4 linked regions of the Caenorhabditis elegans genome follow. The protein of the gene in region 1 interacts with the protein of each later gene in a biochemical or structural test. Each region holds a gene or a part of one and is shown on either strand. Other genes may lie near its edges.

The links.
Region 2: of the proteins of prmt-1 (region 1) and act-4, one has a biochemical effect on the other in vitro, tested with the Caenorhabditis elegans proteins (one study listed by BioGRID).
Region 3: of the proteins of prmt-1 (region 1) and pgl-1, one has a biochemical effect on the other in vitro, tested with the Caenorhabditis elegans proteins (one study listed by BioGRID).
Region 4: of the proteins of prmt-1 (region 1) and hsp-60, one has a biochemical effect on the other in vitro, tested with the Caenorhabditis elegans proteins (one study listed by BioGRID).

What each region holds. Positions count from the first base shown.
Region 1 is NC_003283.11:20,266,877-20,271,353, forward strand, and holds prmt-1 (Protein arginine N-methyltransferase 1), read right to left. Parts: upstream 2,836-4,477; 5' UTR 2,829-2,835; coding exon 2,559-2,828; intron 2,505-2,558; coding exon 1,884-2,504; intron 881-1,883; coding exon 725-880; 3' UTR 501-724; downstream 1-500. Other genes in the region: mdt-17 (Mediator of RNA polymerase II transcription subunit 17), read right to left, coding at 75-353; cdkr-3 (CDK5RAP3 protein homolog), read left to right, coding at 3,241-3,286, 3,338-3,469. UniProt on the Caenorhabditis elegans protein: Arginine methyltransferase that methylates (mono and asymmetric dimethylation) the guanidino nitrogens of arginyl residues present in target proteins.
Region 2 is NC_003284.9:4,959,004-4,964,947, reverse strand, and holds act-4 (Actin-4), read right to left. Parts: upstream 4,328-5,944; 5' UTR 4,287-4,327; coding exon 4,230-4,286; intron 2,149-4,229; coding exon 1,414-2,148; intron 1,358-1,413; coding exon 1,179-1,357; intron 1,124-1,178; coding exon 964-1,123; 3' UTR 535-963; downstream 1-534. Other genes in the region: M03F4.6 (EB domain-containing protein), read left to right, coding at 338-442. UniProt on the Caenorhabditis elegans protein: Actins are highly conserved proteins that are involved in various types of cell motility and are ubiquitously expressed in all eukaryotic cells.
Region 3 is NC_003282.8:6,974,080-6,979,305, forward strand, and holds pgl-1 (Guanyl-specific ribonuclease pgl-1), read right to left. Parts: upstream 3,240-5,226; coding exon 3,132-3,239; intron 3,065-3,131; coding exon 2,933-3,064; intron 2,886-2,932; coding exon 2,739-2,885; intron 2,695-2,738; coding exon 2,336-2,694; intron 2,288-2,335; coding exon 1,947-2,287; intron 1,901-1,946; coding exon 1,758-1,900; intron 1,712-1,757; coding exon 1,540-1,711; intron 1,496-1,539; coding exon 972-1,495; intron 928-971; coding exon 538-927; downstream 1-537. Other genes in the region: him-3 (HORMA domain-containing protein), read left to right, coding at 3,447-3,648, 3,691-3,904, 3,951-4,123, 4,171-4,457; prkl-1 (LIM zinc-binding domain-containing protein), read right to left, coding at 4,949-5,062, 5,131-5,226. UniProt on the Caenorhabditis elegans protein: Guanyl-specific endoribonuclease which cleaves the phosphodiester bond in single-stranded RNA between the 3'-guanylic residue and the 5'-OH residue of adjacent nucleotide, resulting in the formation of a corresponding 2',3'-cyclic phosphate intermediate.
Region 4 is NC_003281.10:1,617,865-1,625,762, reverse strand, and holds the start of hsp-60 (Chaperonin homolog Hsp-60, mitochondrial), read right to left. Parts: upstream 6,022-7,898; 5' UTR 6,005-6,021; coding exon 5,858-6,004; intron 5,709-5,857; coding exon 5,400-5,708; intron 4,337-5,399; coding exon 3,944-4,336; intron 2,705-3,943; coding exon 2,327-2,704; intron 1,330-2,326; coding exon 1,012-1,329; intron 519-1,011; coding exon 357-518; 3' UTR 1-356. Other genes in the region: Y22D7AL.10 (10 kDa heat shock protein, mitochondrial), read left to right, coding at 6,841-6,867, 6,920-7,033, 7,373-7,492. UniProt on the Caenorhabditis elegans protein: Implicated in mitochondrial protein import and macromolecular assembly. May facilitate the correct folding of imported proteins.

The sequences.
Region 1 (4,477 bases):
AGCCTGAAAATCGATGATTTTCTGACTTTTTCCCGAAAATTATTCGATTTTTCTTGATTTTCGCCGGCTTCTACCTCATCATCGAGTTCATCTTCGGGATCAACCTTCGAATTTTCATAAGGCGATTTTGTGCCCACTAGCTTCGTCCATTCCACCTTCCGAGCCAATTTTCCAACATGATCAGTGAACGTCTCGGGCTGCAGGTACCTCTCCACACCGTCAAATCCGATTTCCTGGATTTTCCAGTCATCATTGGATTCCAGCACGAGATCCACTCCTAGTCGTTTTGTGAGATTCACAATGTCTTCGGATTCCGGCTCGATAGGCTCCACCACTTCATCGCCGTCTTCCATTTTTTTTGTGCTAAACTTTTTTAAAAATAATTTTTCGGTTTTTCTTTTGGCGCTGCTCACTATTGATTGAATATTAAAAATATATCTAAAGGCTGCGTAACCTATAAATTATAAAATCGCTTAAAAATTGCAAAAAACTTGAATTTTGGCAGATTTTTTTTTATGGAAAAAGGTCAACAAATGGAGTACCGAGCAGAGTGAGCGTGCGCGCGGATAGAGGAGGTGCGCGACAACAACCCGCATCGAGGTATATACAATCGAGTATCTGCGGAAATCGGGAGGTTTCGGGGGGAACAACGGGGGATCAACAAAGTGTAAAAATTGGGGGCAAAAAAGTGTGAGAAAAAAGACGAAAAAAAAAACAGCAAAAATTAGTGCATGGTGTAGGTGTTCTGCTCGTTGAGATCACACACTTCTCCCTTGAAATCGAACGAAATGTTGATATCCAAGTCACGTTCGTTGTTCTTGTTTGGTGCCATCTCGAATGATCCGGTTATTTCCTCGCCTTTCTTTACTGTGAGCGCGTCCTGAAAAAATCGAAAAATTGAAAAAAAAAATAAAATTTGAATCGAAAGTGTCGAATTTGAAGTCAAAGATGATGTGAAAATTGCAATTTTTTTTCTTTTTTATTAAAACAAAACTGGGTTTTTCTAGCTAACGAAAATTAGTGAAAAATACAACTTTTTGCCTAAAAACCCCGGTTTCAGTCAGAAAATCCGGTTTTTACTCGAAAAATCGATAGAAAAGTGCAAAATTCGTGCAAAAATCTTTAAAAAAACACAAATTTAATACTTAAGACTACTACAAACTACTAGTTTTGGGCGCTGCTAAACTACAAAATTACAAGATTTGGGCGCTGCTAAACTACAAACTACAAGCTTTTGGGCGCTGCTAATTCGCTTTTGGGAGCTGCTAAACTACAAACTACTAGTTTTGGGCGCTGCTAAGCTACAAACTACGATTTTGGGCGCTGCTAGACTACAAACTACAAGATTTGGGCGCTGCTAATTTAATTTTGGGCGCTGCTAAGCTACAAACTACGATTGTGGGCGCTGCTAGACTACAAACTACGAGTTTTGGGCGCTTCTAAGCTACAAACTACAAGATTTGGGCGCTGCTAAACTACAAACTACGAGTTTTGCGCGCTGCTAAGCTACAAACTACGAGCTTTGGGCGCTGCTAAGCTACAAACTACAAGATTTGGGCGCTGCTAAGCTACAAACTACGATTGTGGGCGCTGCTAGACTACAAACTACGAGTTTTGGGCGCTGCTAAGCTACAAACTACAAGATTTGGGCGCTGCTAAACTACAAACTACGAGTTTTGGGCGCCGCTAAGCTACAAACTACGAGTTTTGGGGGCTGCTAATTCATGTTTTCTTAATTTTTTGGCGAATTTTGTTTCAAAAACTGTGAAAAGGTCGATTTTCAGCCCAAAAATCGAAGTTTTTACCATTTACTGACTAAATTTGGTGAAAAACTGTTGAAAAATGGTATTTAACCCGAAAAAAAGTTATTTTTAAGCGCATACTTTAAGATAAAAGACGGTCTGCTTCCAATGAGTGTACTGTACATCTGGCCCAGTCGAGAATCCGGTTTTCTTGTGGCACTTGGAGAACTCGACGGTGAAGAAGGTGACGAAAGCTTGAATATAGTCGCTGCGAGTGCATCTCAGCTTAAAGTCCGATTTGAACGTGAGATCCTCGATTTTAACGGTGTACAAATCAACGTCCTTCAGCAGACAATTGTTGGTGTTGACCTGAGCGTTGTCGACGATATCGACGAGTGGCTCCTTGATCGCGACGTTCTTGATAGCGGACATGTTGAATCCGTAGACTGAATCCCACCAGTGGATCTTGTCCTCCTTGTACTGACGATCCTCGATAGCACAGACGTAGAGACGAGCCTTGTCCGGGAACAACATTCCATTCGGAGCCAACCATCTATCGCGGGCGACGAGCACAGTGTTGAGCATCGACTCGTAGAACAAGCAGTATCCCATCCACTCGGAAATGATGATATCGACCTTCTCAATGCCTCCTGGCAACTCGTGAACGTCCTCTACCTTCGCCTGAATCACCTCGACGATGTGGTCCAGGTTGTTGTCGGCGATTATTTTGCGGGAGGTGAGCGCCATGTTGGAGAATTCCATCTGAAGGAAAAGGAAATTTTTAAAAACCGTTCAAAAAATCCAAAAAAAACTCACCGCGAAAACCTTCTTCGCTCCAGCCTTGGCGGCGAACATGGAAAGAATTCCAGTTCCCGAGCCAACATCCATCACAACTTTGTCTTTGAACAAGTGCGAGTTATGATAGATCGAGTTCCGGTAGGTGGTGGTTCGCACCTCGTCCTTGAGCATCTCCTCGTGGATACCGAAGTGAGCGTACGAGTCGAAGTAGTAGTCCTTGCTGGTCAACTCTTTTGCAGCCGGTGCCGCCACCGGCGCATCTGCGGACTTCCCGTTTTCGGTACTCATTGTCCCGCTGGAAAAAGGTTAATTATTAAATTAATTAATGTGAGATCCACATGCTCTGAAATCCACTTTTAGGGCCAAAATTCATGTATTTTCTTGTTCGAAAAGCTTTTTAATCAAAAAATAATTAATTTTCAGCAAAAAAAACCAAAAAATCAATTGAAAATCAACTGAAAATCATGAAATTCGAGTGAAAAAGACGAAAAAAAAAGGAAAACTCATTTCAAATCAACACCTAAAAATGCGGGCGTTGCGAGACCCAACACACACGAAACCGCATGCGCCTTTAAATTTGTGTCGATTTACGCAGTGGCTGACGTGTATTTTTCCATCGAAATTTTCTTCTTTTTTTGGGAGATTTCTGAATTTAAAATTGAATTTTAAGTTAAAATTTTAATTTTTCAGATAAAAAATCATGTCAGACGACTTGCCAATCGATATTCACAGCAGTAAATTGCTTGGTAACTCGTTATCCATTAATTTTAACCCAAAAAACACCGCAAAAACTTTAGATTGGCTGGTTTCCCGTCGTCATTGCAACAAAGATTGGCAAAAAAGCGTGGTGGCGATTCGAGAAAAGATCAAACATGCCATTTTGGACATGCCGGAGTCGCCGAAAATCGTGGAGCTGCTGCAAGGAGCGTGTTAGTTGGTTTTTTGCCCAAAAAAGACCAAAAAATTGTTAAAAAACTACAAAAAGGCTCGACTACCAAGTTTTTTTTGCAAAAAATCTGATTAAAAAAAATAGTTTTTCACCAAAAACAGTCAGAAAAACGAATAAAATCTCTCTTGTCCGCAGGAGGCTTAGGCTCACCCTTGAACCAAACGGACAACCTTTACCTTTACTTTTTAAATTTACGGAAAAATGCAAAAAATTCAATAACAGTCCCATTAACAGCTCGAAATCCGGATTAGCAGCGCCCAAATCTTGTAGTTTGTAGTTTTAGCAGCGCCCAAAATTGAATTAGCAGCGCCCAAATCTTGTAGTTTGTAGTTTTAGCAGCGCCCAAAATTGAATTAGCAGCGCCCAAAACTTGTAGTTTGTAGTCTTAGCAGCGCCCAAAATTGAATTAGCAGCGCCCAAATCTTGTAGTTTGTAGTTTTAGCAGCGCCCAAAATTGAATTAGCAGCGCCCAAAACTTGTAGTTTGTAATGTTAGCAGCGCCAAACCATTTTTTTGAGAAAAATCCAATTAAATTACAGTTTTTAGTCGTTTTTCGCCAAATTTAGCGAGAAAAATCATTAAAATAGAAAAAATAATAAATTTTTCTGTCAAAAAAGCCGTAATTATTCAATTTTTAATCTAAAAATTGCCAAAAATTCAGTTTTTCACCCAAAAAAGTCAGAAAAACATATAAAATTGTGATTTTTGCGGTGAAAACCGACTATAATTTAGTTTTCGTGCCGAAATTTACGAAAAAAATGCAGAAATTTCGATAAAATTCCCATTAACAGCTCGAAATCTGGATTAGCAGCGCCCAAAACTTGTAGTTTATAGTGTTAGCAGCGCCCAAAATTGAATTAGCAGCGCCAAACTTTTTTTCTGCAAAAACCTGATAAAATAACATTTTTTTGAATTATTTTTCGCCAAATTTAGTTAGGAAAATGCATTACAATGCTATTTTTGCCGTAAAAATCTTCAAAAAATCGAT
Region 2 (5,944 bases), on another chromosome or scaffold:
TTGTGATTCACTTTAATTAGATACCTTATTTATTTTATAAAAATGCTATATTCATGTGGCAATGTTTCGACTTGTAGAAAATGAATAATAGGCTGCGTCCATATCCTGTTTTTTTCCGTTAAAAATATTTTTTCAAACATTGTATGATATATTTTTAATAACATACTTGAGTAAAACAAAATGAGACACTAATCATAAAAGCGGATCAAGAATTCCATGAATTTTTTTAATTTTTGTTGTACATTTTGTGTTCAATTCTTATTTTAAACTCAAAAAACAACATATTTTTCTAAGATTTGTTGTTTTAGTTTAAAAAAACTCACCTTCTAAATTACAGGATCAACTACTAGGAGTCCGTTGCACAAATCCAGATGATCCGCTCAGTATTGGCTCAATTTTGGACCGCGTCGGAGACATCTTCGGAAACAAACAAGGCAAATAATCTGTGTTCCGTAACAGCTACTCACTTCATCTCTCCTCCGGGTTGAATTTTCTTTATTTGTATTTTTTACATTAGATAAACTTGATCAATTTGTCTTATTAAAAGCTTTATTATGAATGTGGCTCAAATAATGAGCATGATTCAGAGAAAAAATGGTTTAAAATGTCAATTTTGTAATGAGAAAATGGGGGTCATCGGCAGTAATAGGGTACAACAACAAAAGTGATTGCATTAAACCTCAACTTCAAACCAAAGATACACAGAGAACCTAGTTATACATGCCTAGATTACTACCGGAATAGTATTGAACAAATACAAGAGAAGTTACCAATGAAGATTTGGGTGAGAATGGGAAGCATAATGCAGTCGGCTAGAGAAGTTGGAACTATTACTAGCAATGTACACGGAGAGGGTGAAGAAAAAAAAAAGAGAAAATAAAAAAAATGTAAAAGGATGGTCTGGATGGGTTGCGGGATAATACGAACTTCTTTTGAGCGTTGTGGGTGGAAGGGGCAAAAAATTTAGAAGCACTTGCGGTGGACAATCGATGGGCCGGACTCGTCGTACTCTTGCTTGGAGATCCACATCTGTTGGAAGGTGGAGAGGGAGGCGAGGATGGATCCTCCGATCCAGACGGAGTACTTGCGCTCTGGTGGGGCGATGATCTTGATCTTCATGGTGCTGAAAAAATAGAAAGTAAATATTAGTTCTTGAAATCCATTTAAGTTAAACTTACGATGGGGCAAGAGCGGTGATTTCCTTCTGCATACGATCGGCGATTCCTGGGTACATGGTGGTTCCTCCGGAAAGGACGGTGTTGGCGTACAAGTCCTTACGGATATCAATGTCGCACTTCATGATGGAGTTGTAAGAAGTCTCGTGGATTCCGGCAGACTCCATACCCAAGAAGGATGGCTGAAATGAATAGGAATTAATTTTATGTTTAGCTAGAGGTGCAAATATTTTCTTACCTGGAAGAGAGCCTCTGGGCAACGGAAACGCTCGTTTCCAACGGTGATGACCTGTCCGTCAGGAAGTTCGTAGGACTTCTCGAGGGAAGATGAGGAGGCAGCGGTGGCCATTTCTTGCTCGAAGTCGAGGGCGACATAGCAGAGCTTCTCCTTGATGTCACGGACAATCTCGCGTTCAGCGGTGGTGGTGAAGGAGTAACCGCGCTCAGTGAGGATCTTCATGAGGTAGTCAGTAAGATCACGTCCGGCAAGATCGAGACGGAGGATGGCGTGTGGGAGGGCATATCCTTCGTAGATTGGGACGGTGTGGGTGACACCATCTCCAGAGTCGAGGACGACTCCGGTGGTACGTCCGGAAGCGTAGAGGGAGAGCACGGCCTGGATGGCGACGTACATGGCTGGGGTGTTGAAGGTCTCGAACATGATTTGGGTCATCTTTTCTCTGTTGGCCTTTGGATTGAGTGGAGCCTCAGTGAGGAGGACTGGATGCTCTTCTGGGGCAACACGGAGCTCGTTGTAGAAGGTGTGATGCCAGATCTTCTCCATATCGTCCCAGTTGGTGACGATTCCGTGCTCAATTGGGTACTTGAGGGTAAGGATACCTCTCTTGGACTGGGCTTCGTCTCCGACGTAGGAGTCCTTCTGTCCCATACCGACCATCACACCTTGATGTCTTGGGCGTCCAACGATGGATGGGAAGACAGCGCGTGGAGCATCGTCTCCGGCGAATCCGGCCTGAAATTATCAATTTTTGTTTCAATATATCCCATGATGACCCCTAGATAAGAAATGAATACTCTCGTTAGGTCTTTCAAGAATGTCCATTATATTTACATTGCAAAGAGAGAAGGTTGCGGCGAGAATTCGGTCGAGATTTGGCAGAGCGCAGTGAGTCCGCGCACGAGCGAGAGCAGTGCAAACACAAAAGGCCCATTCCCCTATTCTCAAAATGCCCTCTCTCGCTCTACTCCTCTAGTTCACGGTTGATATCGAATGAAGTACTTTTTCCGAGAACGCTTTGGTGTGTGGTGAGCGGCGACAACGCTCAACAGATGTGTGTATGTCTCTCTGTGTTTGTGTGTGTGTGTGTGTGTGTGTGTGTGTGTGTGTGAGAGAGTGTGCCCAGCGCTCGCTTACCCCCGTGTTGGTCGCAGGGGCCTGCTGCTGCCACTGGCCCCGTTTTTTTTTACCCACTCAGATCCATTTCGCAATCCAATTGCGCTGTTGAATAATGAGATAGGAAACGGGGCGAATGGGAGGCCATCAGCAGCACTGAGAAGCGGGGCATTCGGGCACTAAGACAGATTTCGAAATGCATTGAGTCATCGTCTACACACCAAGAGCACCAGATGTGAGCGTGTCAGTTTTTTGATTTCAAATGGAAATTGTGGAAAATTGAATTAGAATGGGAAGGGGGACATTTTGATGATGAAAGTCCCTGATGACCATTGCATTTGTACAATCCTATCCCGGTCACTTACTCTCTCCCCGTTCATCCTAATCGCACTTTTCGCCTCCTACTACTTGGCCTCAATCGGACTCTCATGTCTAGATTGCGCATATTCATTTCTATCAATCAATATAGTGAGGATTGACAAAAGGTGGCATTTCTTGGCCTTGACAGTCCGTCCGTCCCTTCTTGTGTCCTATCCGTCTCCCATCCGTTCGGCTGTTGGCGTGGTGGTAGTCATTCAACAAGAGAGGCCGAATGGAGGGAAACCGCCGCCCTGCATACAGTGATGCGAGGAGGATACAAGGGCACACTTGACCAACACACTGTCAAGATTAGCGATTAGCGGCAGCCTCTTTTCTGACACATATATATAAATAAATCCGGGAAGGGTTCGCCAATACCATCGGAATCTCACACTCTCAGACACTCACACACATCTTGTTTCCTAGGGCCACAAATTAGCCAAGTAGCACTATTGAGGGTGGTGCGGATAATTGATGTTCGCGTTGCGCTTCTTCGTTCCCAAATTATACTTAATGAGGATTGCAAAGTGAGGTGGTTGCAAATAAAGATACCCGTCGTGGATAGACAAAAAACTACTGGCTTTTGACGACGAAAAAAATCGCTGTTCTTGTTGAATGGTTTGCCTCTCTTTCTATCTTATGGGGTTGCTAATCTACTGGCGAAATCTCTATTCAACTATTGCCACTGCCCTCTCGGAATGTGCATTACACTACTGTTGGCTGGTCGTGATATATCCCATTGTACGAAGGAAACGTCGCGGACGTTCCCTCAACGGACGGCCTCTCCTCACACACCATTGCAAATGCGCATCGGGTCGGGGTCGGGTTGGCCCCTCTCCAACAATACTCTACATACACTAAAAACATATCCTTGCGACGATTCCTTTTTTCTTCCCCCCCCTTACATATTCTCCCAGTGGGATGAAAAAGGGGCGCGTGGCGCCAGATTTGAAAATGGGAGGGAGCGAGTGACCGCGCGCAGGTGTTGACGGACGATATGAATCACCACCCACTACTACTACAACTGTTGCCATAATTATTTGCGAAACAATGCAAATCGAAACGTTGAGAAGGAATAGAAATTCAAAATCCTTATGCGGCAGGGAAACAACTTTTTATACAATGCAATGGAATTATTCCTAGGTTGTTGGAAATTTTAAACCCAAATGAAAAGTAAATTTGAGACATGGAGTTGGAATAAGCGCAGTTAAAACTAACAAAATAAAATTTTCCAAAATTTCTAAATCTTATATTCAAATGTTTCTAGAGCAGTTAAGATTGCATAATATTGTTTTAAACCTTTGTCCCTAATTAGAATTATTCAAATGTTATCAACTCACCTTGCACATTCCGGATCCATTGTCCACCACAAGAGCGGCAACCTCGTCGTCACACATTTTTTTGGGAACTGAAAGCGGGTGCCTAGTGAAAAACCAGTGCACAACTCTGCCTCTCGTGGCCTATTTATACTGCTGCACGCGACGCGTCCGCGCCGCTCTTTGCCATTGGTCGGCTGGCCCCGCCCAACCGAATGAGGGATTGAGGGAATACTGGAGAGCGGCCATCCGACAGACGGTCCTCGGAAGGGCGGGACACGGAGGGAAAAACAGTGTGGTGGTGGTGTCCTGGAAAATTTGAATTGGGGGACCGCGTCGCGCCTTCCCGCCTCGAAGATGAGGCGTTCGGCAGAGCGCAACGTGAGAAAAACGCCTAAAAATGTTTTGTAATTATGAAATTGGTCAGTGAAAAGCGAACGGCCGTTCGGTTTTTAAGGGATAATTTGATAAGGAACCGTAAGATTTTAATGTTGCAAAACAATTGCAGACGTCGTGGCACTGCAGACTAAAGATGTTCTCAGAACTCTTTTCTTGCCATACTTAGTGATATATTCGAATCTAGAATTAATCTTTTTGTCATCAATATCAGGAAAAGCGAGGTTTTTTAACTGTAAGTTGGTAATGAAGGAACCGTATTTTCCAATATATCGATGGTCTCTAGTTTTATTAAGAAATGATTCAATGTTCAAATGTAGAAAAAAATTTGACACGTATTTTGTCAAAGTGGAGCATGACGTGCCAGTGTTAAAGGAAAATTCCTCATGTTTTCAACACTTTTTGTACTTCAAAGTATATCTGAAAATGATTTTGTTTCAAATCACAACAAAGCAAAATTTCTGAAAATTGTATTAGTCATCAATTTCTATTCTTGGATATTGTCACATGTTCGATTTTTGAATTTATATGATTCAACAATTTGTTTTTTTTTTCTGTATTCCGCCGGAATATAATCTTTGAGCGAGAGGGTTTAGATTTTTTTTCTCCAAAAAGTTTGAATTGTTTCCATTGAATTAGCTGCCCTGCTTTCTCGGTGTTACACTGCAAGTTTTGCTTTCAACTGCACAATGCGGGGGAGATGAGAAGCGGGAAGAGCGGAGCATCATCAGGAACCATCAACAACATGTTACCTCTCGGGGTCCAGTTTTATTGGTTGCGAAGAAAACGAACAAAGTGCCGAGAAAGAGGGACCTGATTAAATGGGTTCGCAATTTAATTAGTATCACCCAGAAAACTCATTGAGATTCTTTTTTTTTCAAAACATAGTGGTCAAATTGGTTTCCTCTTCCCCCCCCCCCCCCCCCCTCAACCGTGCGCGGTGTTCTCCCAATGTTTCACATCCAACTTTTCCCGAATAAGAACAAAAAAATAGTTTTCCATTTCGTTACAAAACATGAAGCGTGTCCTCTTTTGATGAGTAATCGTCGTATAGAAAAATATGAGAAACAATGACGGAAGGCAAAAAAAAGGAAATGTTATGTTTAGAAATGAAGTAAAATGTCACTGATGATTCAGAAACGGGGGGCATCGACGTTCTGTTTACGAATGTGTTCCACAGCTTTTTTTTGTGAGAACGATTGACCCAACAAGGGATCAGATGACATCACTTCATGCCCACCATAAAGCACAAATGCACTATAGGTTCTTTCAATACACTATGGCATGTTTATACACACTTGCTGTCTACTCTTCATTCTTAAGAGCACATTGTGTGTGTGTGT
Region 3 (5,226 bases), on another chromosome or scaffold:
AAAACTAGTAAGCTCAAAGTCAGAAAATGCTCTGAAAATTAGTATTGCACTCCCTAATAGTCTTGCATTCCCTATTAGTATTGCAAGCGGGAAGACCATCGAAAAATAGTATTGCAGCCATATTAATAGAAGAAATACGGTATTTGTTATGTTCGAATGCAGATGTCTCATAACGATTTACAACTCTAATATGCGTAAATGTATGATAAGATCAGTTGAAATTGTATAAGAATGCATGCAGTGCCACCTGTTAATTTTATGATCCACCAATCATTCGGCACCGTCGATTCAGACATCACTTTTCTCATCAAGCCGCAGAAAGAGATATACGTGTAATTAATTGAGTTAATTTCTTGCAACAATCTAGTTCAAACATTTACCGGGAACAAGGAAAAACAGGTTGAATAAATAATAAATGACAGTCAAGGTTTTAGGGATTTTACAACAAGATTGTTAGAATAAATAATGTGCGTAAAACGTGTAAGTATACAAGAAGTGTATACTTAAAAAACAAATTAAACATTCAATAGTTGGAGTTTAGAAACCTCCGCGTCCACCACGACCCCCGTAACCACCACGTCCACGATCTCCGCCGTATCCACCTCGTCCTCCGCGGTCTCCCCCGCCGTATCCACCTCTACCTCCACGATCTCCGCCGTATCCACCTCTGCCTCCACGGTCTCCACCGCCATATCCTCCGCGACCACCTCCTCCTCCATAAGCTGAACTGGTGGGAGCAAATTGACCGAATCCTTTTGCAACTTTGGCTTCCCCAAATCCACTGACTTTGTATTGATTAGTCGGGGCAGGAAGAGGCATTGGAGTAGCGTCGCCTGACCCCCATGCAGTTTCAGCACGAGCTTGTGGTTGTGGTGTAGAATCTTTGTCAGCAACTGTGGTTTCCTCTTCATCTATCTGCTGCATGCCCTGAAAGAAATATTTTTATAATTCTGAAACGATGAACGCGATACCGGTGGCAGAGCTACTGATTTCGTTGGAGAATCCCAGCCATCGGTGGAAAAACTTGGCGCTACTTCTGGCGAAGCACTTGAAGAAGTATCTTGATTGGCATCCGAAGCCATCTCGATCTCGTTAACTGTTTGCTGTTGTTGTGCATCGTTAACCTTTTCTGGGACAGGATCGACCGCTTTTACAGTAACACCTTCTCCAATGTTTCTTGATGAGCTTAGCAAAGTCGAAGAATCCACTTCGTCACAAGAAATCTCCTGAAGACTGAGTGAATCCTTTGAATCGACAAGTAACCCGGAAGAATTGGTATCACTGAGACCGTTGAGAACTTGAGCTTTAGTATTTACGCTGTATGTGTTGTGAACCGTCGTCATTTCCTCTTTCGTGTAGGCGGAATCCTGCTGTTGGGAAGTGGATGGTTGCACATTGCTCTTTCTGCCACTTGGTGTATCGGACAAACAACACTTCTCCAGTGATTCAACAATTCGAGTGACATGAGTCTTCGAGTTGATTCCTTGAACAAATTCTGAAATTAAAAAGTTAACAGGAGATAAAAAAAGGAATATTCACTCTTGAAGCTATCGACGAGAAGATTTTTTGAAGTGGAATCCAAGAAACGAAGCTCGCCCAGCGCTTCAGTCTCATTCTCGGATCCGTAAAACTCTGTAAGCCACAGTGCAAACTGTAGAGCTTTATTCACATTATCGATCACCGCATCATTGTTTAGTGGACTCTGAGGAATCTGAAAAACGGTCATGTAAGTAATGTTTATAGAATCATTAACTCACCAGTGGAACGGGCTTATCGAAGCATTGCTCTAGAATTGAGACTTGGAACTTCTTGATAAGTTCCGCAATGGCTCGTCTTTTCCAGGCGCTCTCCAAGTCTTTCGCGACTCCAACAACATCCCAATCCTCAAAAGACTTCTTAGCTGAAATATTTAGATTTTAAAAGTAAACAAAGACGAAAATACTAACATCCTAAAAGAACTTGGATGATGTGATTGCCGAGGAACACCGCACTCTTGTAGACACTTCTTTGCAATCCTGGAAAGACTTCCGCTCTGACACTCGTAGGAATCCCAGAGAGGATTTTCTTGGAAACCTCGCGCTTTCCATCTGCAAGTGAACGAACGATAAGGAAAAAGAGCTGATATCCGAGTTGAGATCTCAAGACAAGTGACTCGTCTCCTTCATTTTTACTCGCTTCCTCGAAAAGTTGAGCGATATGGTTCACAACTTTCCCAACAGACTCTTCGAGTGGATCCATGAGGAGACTAATGAATGGATCGGCAGGTTCAGATTTCGGACCATCCAACCTAAATTGAAAAAAAAAATCGAATTATTTTGAAAAGGACAACAATTACATCAACTGTTTCAACAACGGCTTGCAGCTATCAAATGCGTTGACGACGTTATCACGGATAATGTCGACCTCGTCGCTAGTCTCCTCAGAGATAAGTCCGAGGATTTTAGTTAGGACATAAACATCAAAGTCCAGATCCAGTTGGCTGACAAGTTCCGTGAGCTCAACAAACTTTTCGGCGGCATCATCGATTGCGATTACTTTGAGAAGAGCTTGAAGAATCTTAGCGTCTTCAGTCTTCTTCAGCTTGGCCTTACGGGCGAGCATTCCGAGCTTCTTGTCGTCATCGATGACAGAAACCAGATCATGAGCATGTCCCAATCCTGACAATTTCTCAGCAGCAGCATCAAATTTCGGACGCTAAAACGTTATAATTGATTACAATAAGTTTAATTCACACTTACAAATTTATCTCCGAGAAGAAGACAAACGTCCATGCCAGCAGCAATAACGGCAGCGTTAGCGTCGTTCGGCAAGATCATCTCCAAAATGTCTTCGTCTCCAGGAGCGTCTTTGGAAGCTCCCAACACGAAAGCAGCCAACTTATTGGCCTGAAATTGAATAATAGAAAATCGGTCTTTAAATATTATAGTCCAACCTGAGATGTATTGTTGAACAGTTCTTCGTCATTCTTCGTGATGTAGTGGGCCAAATTTGGGAAAAAGTAGGATCTCAGCCCACCGAAATCCACAATTTCTCGCTTGTTAGCCTCCATGTGAAATGGATGAAACTGAAATAAATATTTAAATTTTTAAAAAATTTTTCGAGATTAGAATTCAAAAAAACGCAAAATTTACCCAAAAAAGTAAGAAAACGGAAAAGAAAATTGGGACGAGATCGAAATTGCAACTTCCGCGTTCGCGTCGAGTTGTTCGTTTCGAGACCCGTAGATCTGAAACTTCCATGCGCCTTTAATAATTTCTAAGTTTCTGAACTATTTCCAGATTTATTTTACCTATTTTCTAGTTTTTTTTTTCAAATCAAAATATGTTTAATCAATGCGGGGTTTTATAATTAAATAATATGTTTAACTTGTTATAGATTTTATAGATATTATTTTTTAAACATTTTAATTTGTTTCACGATGATATTTCAGTAATTGTAGGTTTGCGATGGCGACGAAAGAGCAGATTGTTGAGCACCGCGAGTCTGAAATTCCTATAGCCAGCCAGTGGAAGGCCACGTTTCCCGTTGATCTAGAGATTGAAAAAAATTCTGAAATGTTTGCGCTTCGCTACATAAAATGTGCTTCGGCCTTCATTCTCGATCGCCGTGGCATTTTGGACGAAAAATGCTTCAAAACTCGAACAATAGGTATGGCTTATTTTACAATGTATCACAAATATTTTTATACAGATAAACTGTTGGTCACCGCATTCCAGAGCAGTGTTCCTGCCGCAAAGCGTGTGTCTTCAACATTCGACGGATTGAGAGATGCGATTCAACAAGGCTATTTGCGAGAGTTCGCAATCGTGTTCTACAAGAAGCCAAACGAGGAAGACATTAATGAAGTGTTTGCGTTCAGGTTTGCTTATGGAGATGAAGGAGAGATTTTCGTATCTCTAAATAAGTAAGCTGCTGGTCTTATTCAATTATTCGTTTTCAATTGTTTTCAGCGGAATCGACACGAACGAAAGCAGTCAAGAACTGTTACAGGCGAAATTCGTTGATACCGACAACACGAAACAAATGTTTGCAAGCACAATCAAGAAACTTCACCGGTGTATCAAGAAAATGGAGCCGCTTCCTCAAGGGTCCGACGCGAGTTTCCGTGTTTCGTACACTGAAAGTAGGTTACATTCACAGCTTTAGTCTATTTCTAACTGTTATTTTAAGAAGCTCCAAAAGACTATACACCCGAAGGCTATCTGCTGAGTCCTATGTTCTATACGCTGAATCAGGATATTAGGAAAGCATCTATTGGAATCGTGTGTGGCGGTCATCACAAAATTCAAATGCTTGCTGCTTCACAATACTTGAAGCAAGACTTCGATCTGGATAAAACGACCACACTCAATCCAAATATGTCAATCATGGCAAACCAATCGAAAAGGAAGGGACGAATTTCCAGAGATTCCCCTTACGGTCTCAGTCAGGGCATTACGAAGAAGAATAAGGACTAGTCGAAAAGTTTTCACTCATGTGCAATGTTTCTCTTGTTTTATATTTTTAGCCATTGTTTTTATAATTTCATTGATTGTCGTGCTTTTGTCTTCTCTTGTGTGATATCAATCTATCTTCTTCACGTATAGTTTCATCTGTTTGATTGAGTTATTTTTCTTTCACTGTAAGTCTGGTGTTTCGTAGATTTAGAAAAAAGTAGCGTAATAAATTATTTTGAAATGGACCAAACATTCAAATCCAGTTCAGATAAATTTATTTCATTGAAGCAGTGTTGGAATTCGGACAAATGAGAAGTGAATATTCATTTGAAATAAGTTTTACATTACTTGCACTGTTGGCTGGGTGTTAAAAATAGGTTCAATATTGAATTAATAAAATGGGACAATTCACCGTGCAGAAAAAAACGAAGGAAAAGGCTTAAAATTGAAGAAGAAGTATAAAAGAATCACATGGGCTTTTCAGGAATTCAGTAAATGTTTGGACAAGTATATCAAGATACTGTACATCTGGAACTTTTCTTTTTCTTTGCCATTCGAACACCGCCTCCCGACATCATCATTGGTTCATTTTTCTTTGATTTACGACTGGAAGACTTTGCAGGAACCTGAATTTTTTATGATTGAATGTTTGGAAAATCTCAAATTGATAGTGTGGAATAAATTAAAAACTTACTCTACTCAACGAGGCGGCTGCCATAATATTTGAAATGTAAAGCTGTTCATCATCTGAATCCGACGAAGATGATGTACTATATCCATCCATTTCGGG
Region 4 (7,898 bases), on another chromosome or scaffold:
ACGGGGTGGGGAGGAGAGTGAAAACAAAGAAAAAAACGGAAAAAAAAAACAAGGAGATTCTATATATTATACTCTAAAAACAAGGGGAAAAACACTAAACTAAAAAAAATTGAGGTCCTAAAATTGCGAAAAAATTAAAAAAAAAAACACCATTGAAAAGTTATCATCAAAAAAAGGGGAAAAAGAGCCGTAAAACAAGAAAAAAACAAATGGCTCAGAGCACAAAAGATCATAATTTTTTTGGGGAAATTTTTGGGGAAAAAATGATGGGAAAAACGACAAAATTGAGCAAAAACCAGTGTTTTAGAGAGAAAATCAATCCATCGGTGTCGTTATTTCAATGAGAGATTGAGAGCTTAGAATCCCATTCCTCCCATACCGCCCATTCCACCCATTCCACCCATTCCACCGGCTGGTCCACCAACTGCTTCTTCCTTTGGAATTTCGGTGACTACGCATTCGGTTGTGGCGAGAAGTGAGGCGACTCCTGAAGCATCTTGGAGAGCTGTGCGAACCACCTGGAAATTTGGAAAATTGCGGTTTTTGGGGAGATTTTTTTTTGCATAAAAATTTTCGATTTTTCTTGAAATGTTGAATTTTCAGGGTTTTTTTTTCCAAAAAAAAAAAAAAGACGGCCAGAAGCAATTTTTTTCCATTTTTTGACCAATTTTTGAACTACTTTCAAATAATTTCTGCTGAAAAACTCCAATTTTTGGCTGAAAAATTTAAATTTTCACGTAAAATCCAAATTTTCCGCCTGAAAACTTCAAATTTTCAAGAAAATTCCTAATTTTTGGCTTAAAAATGAAAATTTTCAGTGAAATAATGCAATTTTTGGCTAAAACATTAAAATTTTGGAGGAAAATCCAAATTTTTGGCTCAAAAATTCAAATTTTCACGAAAAATTCAAATTTTTTGGCTAAAAATTCAAATTTTGGAGGTAAATCCAAAATTTTTGTCTCAAAAATTCAAATTTTCACGAAAAATTCAAATTTTTGACGCTGTATATACCTTAGTTGGATCGATAATTCCAGCCTCGAACATGTCAACGAACTTTCCGTTGAGCGCATCATAACCATATGATGTATTGCTGTTTCCGGTGACTTCATCAATAATCGACGATGGCTCAAGACCGGCATTTTTGACGATTGTGGCGATTGGCTGAGTGAGAGCCTTCTTGACGATATTCACACCGATCTGTTGATCCTCGTTGGCTGCTTTGTAGTTTTTGAGTGCTGTCAGAGATCTGAGAAGAGCAACACCTCCTCCTGGAACGATTCCTTCTTCGACAGCGGCACGCGTGGCACACAGAGCATCGGTGACACGGTCCTGTAATGAAAAAAAAATTGATGAAAAATCATACAAAAAATTGCAGAAAACCGATAAAATCTGGTGGAAATCAAGATTTTTCCGCGCAGGAAAACCAAAATTTCTGCTATTTTTGAGCATGCTCAGCGGGAAAAATCAATTTAACAGTTTTTTCCGCGTTTTTTTATCAATTTTTTCAGTTGAAATTGCGAAAAAAACAGTTATTTTCGGCTTCTAACAACAAAATTTTAAGTGGCAATTGCGAAAAATTTCGGCTAGAAAGTTCGAATTTTAAGAAACATCCATATTTTTGGCTGAAAATATCAAATTTTCAGGGAAAATCCAATTTTTTGGCTGAAAATATCAAATTTTTAAGGAAAATGCAAAATTTTGTCTGAAAAATTCAAATTGGCAAAATAGCCATTTTTTCGAACCAAAAATCGGCTGGAAATTGCTAAAATCGCAAATTTTAATGTTTTCCGGCAGAAATCTGTAGTTTACACGGCAAAATCAAGCTGAAAATGATCGACTAAAAAATTCTAACTTTCAAGAAAAATCCAAATTTTTGGCTGAAAAAATCAAATTTTCAAGAAAAATTCAAATTTTTGGCTGAAAAATTCAGATTTTTGGCTAAAAAAATTCAAATTTGTAAGAAAAAGTCAGATTGTTTAAATAAAAATTTAAATTTTCAAGAAAAATCTGCAGATTTAGTGGGTTTCTTTCACAAAAATGGGGGAATTTACCATAAATTTTACTCGAAAGGAGCACAAAGAGAATCTTGCGTTTTGTTGCAAATAAAAATAAAAAACTGAGTTTTAACGAGTTTCCAATGGCACAAACGGCACAAAAAAGGTTTTAAAATCAGGTTTCTCGACAAAAATCTGGTAGAAATTGAGGTTTTTTTAAACCAATTTTCTGCTAAAAAAAGCTCAAAAATGAACGGATTTTGATCATTTTCCCACGGAAAATAGCCAGTTTTTCTTCAATTTTTCTCCAATTTCAGCCAAATTCCGCACACCTTCTTCTCTCCAACTTCAACTTCAGATCCTCCTCCAATCTTGAGCACAGCGACTCCCTTGCTCAACTTGGCGAGACGCTCATTAAGCTTCTCCTTCTCGTAATCGCTCGTCGATTGCTCAATTTCATCGGTGATGTGCTCGATTCGCTTCTCGATCTCTGTTTGATCTCCACGCCCGCGAAGAAGAAGAGTATCGTCCTTGGTGATGGTGACCTCATCGACTTCTCCGAGATCGTTGGCTGTGATATCCTCGATCTTAATGAGATTCGAGTCATCTCCAAAGATCGTTGCTCCCGTCGCAATTCCCATATCCTTGAGCGTGTTCTTGCGGTTATCTCCGAATCCTGGAGCCTTGATTGCGACGACTTGAAGTCCGACCTGGAAGAGAAAATTCTGCGGTTTTACAGGGTTTTTAGTGAAAAATTAGTTTTTTTTTAAACTTAAAATCGTGGAAAATGATGGAGTTTAGAGGTTTTTCAGTGAAAATATGTATTTTTTAGCAAAAATAGCAAAAATAGACTTTCTCAGAAGTCAATGCGCACTTTTTCACTGATAAAAATGGAAAATTATGTAGAATACTGAATAAATCCGACCTGGAAGAAAATTCTGCGGTTTTAAAGGTTTTTCAGTGTAAAACACATTAATTAACTTTAATTTAGCGCGATTTTCAGGTGAAATCTTCATGTTTTTGGAGAAAATCCAGGAAATTATGAAATTTCCTGGCGATTTTCTTGCTGAATCCCTAGTTTCTTCTGCTTTTTTTCTATTTTCTTGCCGTAAAATTTGTAAAACTCTCTCAACTGATAAGAAAAAGAAGATATATTATCATTCTCTAATCAAGGTCGCTCGTATTTTGTTGCGAGTAGCCTCCTGCTGCTAACAAACATCACTGATCAAAAAATGCTCGCGGTTCTTTGAACTTGAATTTTCTGATAAAAATTCAAGTTTTCTAGGCTAAAAACGTGAATTTCCGGGGATTTTTTGGACGAATACAAAATTTTTGCAGCATTTTTAGCCATTTTTCAGTCGAAATTGGCAAAAAAACACATTTTTTCGAACCAAAAATCGGGATATTAAAAGTTTTTAATGCCAAAATAAGTAATTTCCGGCAGAAATCTGTAGTTTCCAAAAGTTTGTAAAATCAAGCTGAAACTGATCCGAAAAACAGTAATTTTCGGCTTTTAAACGAATTTTTCAGTCGAAATTGCGAAAAATTTTGGCTGGAAAGTTCGAATTTCAAGAAGAATCAAAATTTTTGGGTGGAAAATTCAACATTTCAGGAGAAATCCAAATTCTTGGCTGAAAAATTGAAGTTTTCAAGAAAAATCCAAATTTTTGGCTGAAAAATTCAAAATTTCAGGGAAAATCCAAATTCCTGGCTGAAAAATTCAAAATTTCAAGAGAAATCCAAATTCCTGGCTGAAAATTTCGAATTTTGTACTTTTTTTTCGTATTTGGGGGTAAACTAATCAAGAAAACGTCGGGTTTCAGCAAATTTCGCATTTTTCTCCGTATTTGGGGGCAATAATCGAAATAACGCGAATTTCCGTCAAAAAATGGAGTTTCAACGCTGGTTTTCGACAAAATTTGCAGTTTTTCGCTTCTTGTCGTCTGTACCTTAAGTCTATTAAGAACAAGAGTGGTAAGAGCCTCTCCATCAACATCCTCGGCAATGATAACCAATGGACGGCGGAGCTTGTTGGCGAGCTCAAGAGCCGGCACAATATCCTGAACTTGGCTGATCTTCTTCTCGCTCAACAAGACAAGAGCCTTCTCGTACTCGACTTTAGCTCCTTTCGCAGAGGTGATAAAGTACGGCGAGATGTATCCTCTGTCGAACTTCATTCCCTCGATAAGCTCGAGCTCATCGTTCAGCGTTTTTCCGTCCTTAACAGTGATGACTCCAGTGGTTCCGACCTTCTTCATGGCGTCACTGATGAGATTTCCGACGACGGTGTCTCCATTGGCGGAAATTGTGGCGACTTGAGCGATCTCTTCGGGGGTGGTGACCTGCAGGAACAAGTTTTTTTTAGTTAAATTATTGCTAAATTTAGTTTTTTTTCTGATTTTTTAGGTTTCTAGGCGCGATTTTTGGTTTAAAACAAGTAAAAATTCAGGTATATCGAGCAAATATAGTCAGAAATAGTCGCGATTTCCCTACAAATCTGTGAATTTTTGGCCATTTTTTCGGGATATTAGGGCTTTTTCATTCAAACAACAAGCTTTTCGTCCTGAATTGGGTAAAAAATAGTGGCTTTTCAAGGTTTTTCAGGGCAAATCAGTGAAATTTTGTCAGCTTTCCGGATTTTTAAGGTTTTTCCGTCAAACAAAATAAGATTTTCGTTCTGAATTGGGTAAAAATTGCGGGGTTTCTATGGATTTTGGCCAAAAATTCGATATTTTCAGCTTTTCAGGCCAACATTGAATGAATACCGCTTCAAAATTGGATCAGAGCTCACAACTGTTTGAAAAAACACGAAATTTTGCAAATTTTCCGGGATATTAGGTGCTTTCGTCCTGAATTGGGGAAAATTGCGGGTTTTTATTGATTTTGGCCAAAAATTCGATATTTTCAGCTTTTCAGGCCAACATTGAATGAAAAATTGCATCAGAGCTGCCAATTGTTCCAAAAAGCACCACATTTTGGCGAACTTTTTGAATTTTCAAGGTTTTTCGAGACAAATCAGTGAAAATTTGTAATTTTTCGGGAATATTCGGGTTTTTCCGTCAAACAATAAGCTTTTCGTCCTGAGTAGGGGAAAAATGACGGTTTTTCAAGATTTTCAGAGCAAATCAGTGAAATTTTGTCAGTTTTCCGGAATATGAAGGTTTTTCCGTCGAACAAATAAGCTTTATGGCCCGAATTGGGAAAAAATGACGGTTTTTTGAAGATTTTGAATTCCTGGCAACTGATTTTAGCCACAAATTCGCGATTTTCAAGCAGATTTGAGCGAAATTCTAGTTTTTCCTCTAACATCAAATGAAAATCGCTTCAAAATTGGGTCAAAAATCCCAATTTTTCCAAAAATCACTGTGGCTTTTGAATTTAAATCCACAATTTCCCGGTATTAACCTTCTTGGAGATCTTCTTGAGCTCTGCAACGACGACTTCGACGGCGTTCATGACTCCACGACGGATCTCGACAGCGTTTCCGCCTTGACGAATGCTCTCGAATCCCTCTTTGGCGATGGCTCTGGCGAGAACTGTGGCGCAGGTGGTTCCGTCTCCAGCCTCCTCATTAGCCTTGTTGGCGACATCTTGAATGAGCTTGGCTCCCAGGTTCTGGTATTTGTCCTTGAGGTCGATGGATTTCGCGACGGTGACTCCGTCCTTTGTGATCTTTGGGCTTCCCCACGACTGCTCGATGATCACGTTTCTTCCCTGAAAGAGTTTGGAGTTTTAGAGGCTGTATTTATGAAGAAAAAAAAATTAAATTTTGCATTAAACCGGAAGTTTTGTGTATAAAAATACGTTAAAATAGATTTTTTTACAGCATTTTTTCCTCAATTTTCACATCAAAATCCCCGTACTTTTGGGCCCATAGTGACAGAGACGGCGTCGGCGAGCAGGTTGACTCCGACGAGCATGGCCTGTCGTCCTTCGGCTCCGAACTTGACGTCCTTGGCGTAAGATCTGACGACGGCGGTCTGAAGTCCCTTTCTGGCGAGGCGAAGCATCTTTTGTGTCTGAAAAACTACGAAAATTGTGTGAAAATCTGCAGCGGAAAGGCGAAAATGCGAGCAAAATCAGAGTTTCTCATCGAAAATGAAGCGAGAAGCCTTGCATTATCGTCTGAGAAGCAGAAAAGGAGTGAAAAATAACGAGAATGGATGAGAAATCGGCTGGGAAAACGGTAAAACAGATATTTCCCCTAATTTAGACGATAAATGGCCTATAAATAAGCATTTTTCAATCGTTTTTTATGAAAATGAAGCGAGAAGCCTTGCATTATCGTCTGGGAAGCAGGTAATGACTGAAAAATACAGGAATAAATGAGAAAATAGCTGGGAAAACTGTAGAATAGTTTTTTCCCCTAATTTCGACGAAAAATGGCCCAAAAATAAGCATTTTTCAATGGTTTCTGATGAAAATAGAAGCAAAAAACCTCAATTTTTCGTTCAAAATATGAAAAATGAGAGAAAAATAACGAAAATGACGCAAATTTTGATGTAAAATGGCTAATTTACATCAGAATAGACTTTTGCATCATTTCACTCGCTCCGCCCAGTTTTGCAAGGTGCGCACACTTTTCTAGGTGGAGCTGAGCGCGCTGATTGGCTGAATTTGCGGCGCGGTGTCTGCCATTGGCCCGACACGCCTAGATTTGCAAGTTTGCCGCACGAGATTTTTCGCGCCGCACATTTATTTTCTGCTTTTTTTCTCGAAGCTTCTTTTGGTTTTTTGATCATTTTCTGAATTTTCGCGGGTTTCTTCGGGTTTTTTCGTTGTTTTCATGTAATTTCCCGCTAAAAATAAATTTTAAAACTCAAAAAACCAATTTTTCAGCCGAAAAATGTTCCTCACCGCTGTCCGCCGATCGGTAAGCTATTTTCCCGGTGTTTTCTCCGAATTAAACGCGTATTTTTTTGCAGAGCAATGTCCTCAAGACCTTCAAGCCACTCTATGATCGTGTGCTCGTCGAGAGAGTCGCCGCCGAGACCAAGACAAAGGGAGGAATCATGCTCCCGGAGAAGTCACAGGGAAAAGTGAGCAATTTTTGGCCTAAAAATTGATTTTTCAGGTGAAAACTGATAAATTTCAACGTCTTGGAGCAGATTTCTAGCACAAAAATGCCAATTTCACCGTCAAAATGGTGCAACTTGGCGTCTAAAACACAGTTTCTAGCTAAAAACCTTCAATTTTATACGAAAAATGTTAATTTTCACCGAAAATTCCGTAAAGTCTGGTGTAATGATGCAATTATCGATTTTCCCTGCCAACACGCTCTCCGACTGCTCGCGGAGGTTTTTGTCCAATTTTTATCCGAAATTACCGAATTTTCACTCAAATTAAAGCAATTTCCACCTAATTTTCGAATATTTCAGGTCCTTGAAGCCACCGTCGTCTCTGCCGGAGCCGGACTTCGCAACGAGAAGGGAGAGCTCGTCGCATTGACTGTGAAGCCAGGAGATCGTGTCCTTCTCCCAGAATACGGAGGCACCAAGGTACAAAATGCGACGAATTTCGAGCGAAAATATGGATTAATTGGCGAATTTTTAATGTGAAAATCTGAATTTCCGTTGAAATTTCACACAATTTGGACGAAAATCGGGATTTTTTTTAACATTTCAGTGTAAAAGTAGCGTTATATTACTGAAAAGTCATTGAAATCAACGAAAATTGCACAAAAATTGTGTTTTTTCAGCCGAAATCCAAGATTTTTTCAGAAAAATCAGGAAAAATTGTATTAAAATACGATTTTTCCCCCAAAAACTGAATATCACGCGCTTTTCGCTCTAAATTATTGGGGAAATACCTTTAATATAGTACATTTACGCTAAAACCCAACGAAAATTGCACAAAATTTGCCGATTTTCACCGGAAATCTAGCATTTTCTCTGTAAAAATTCA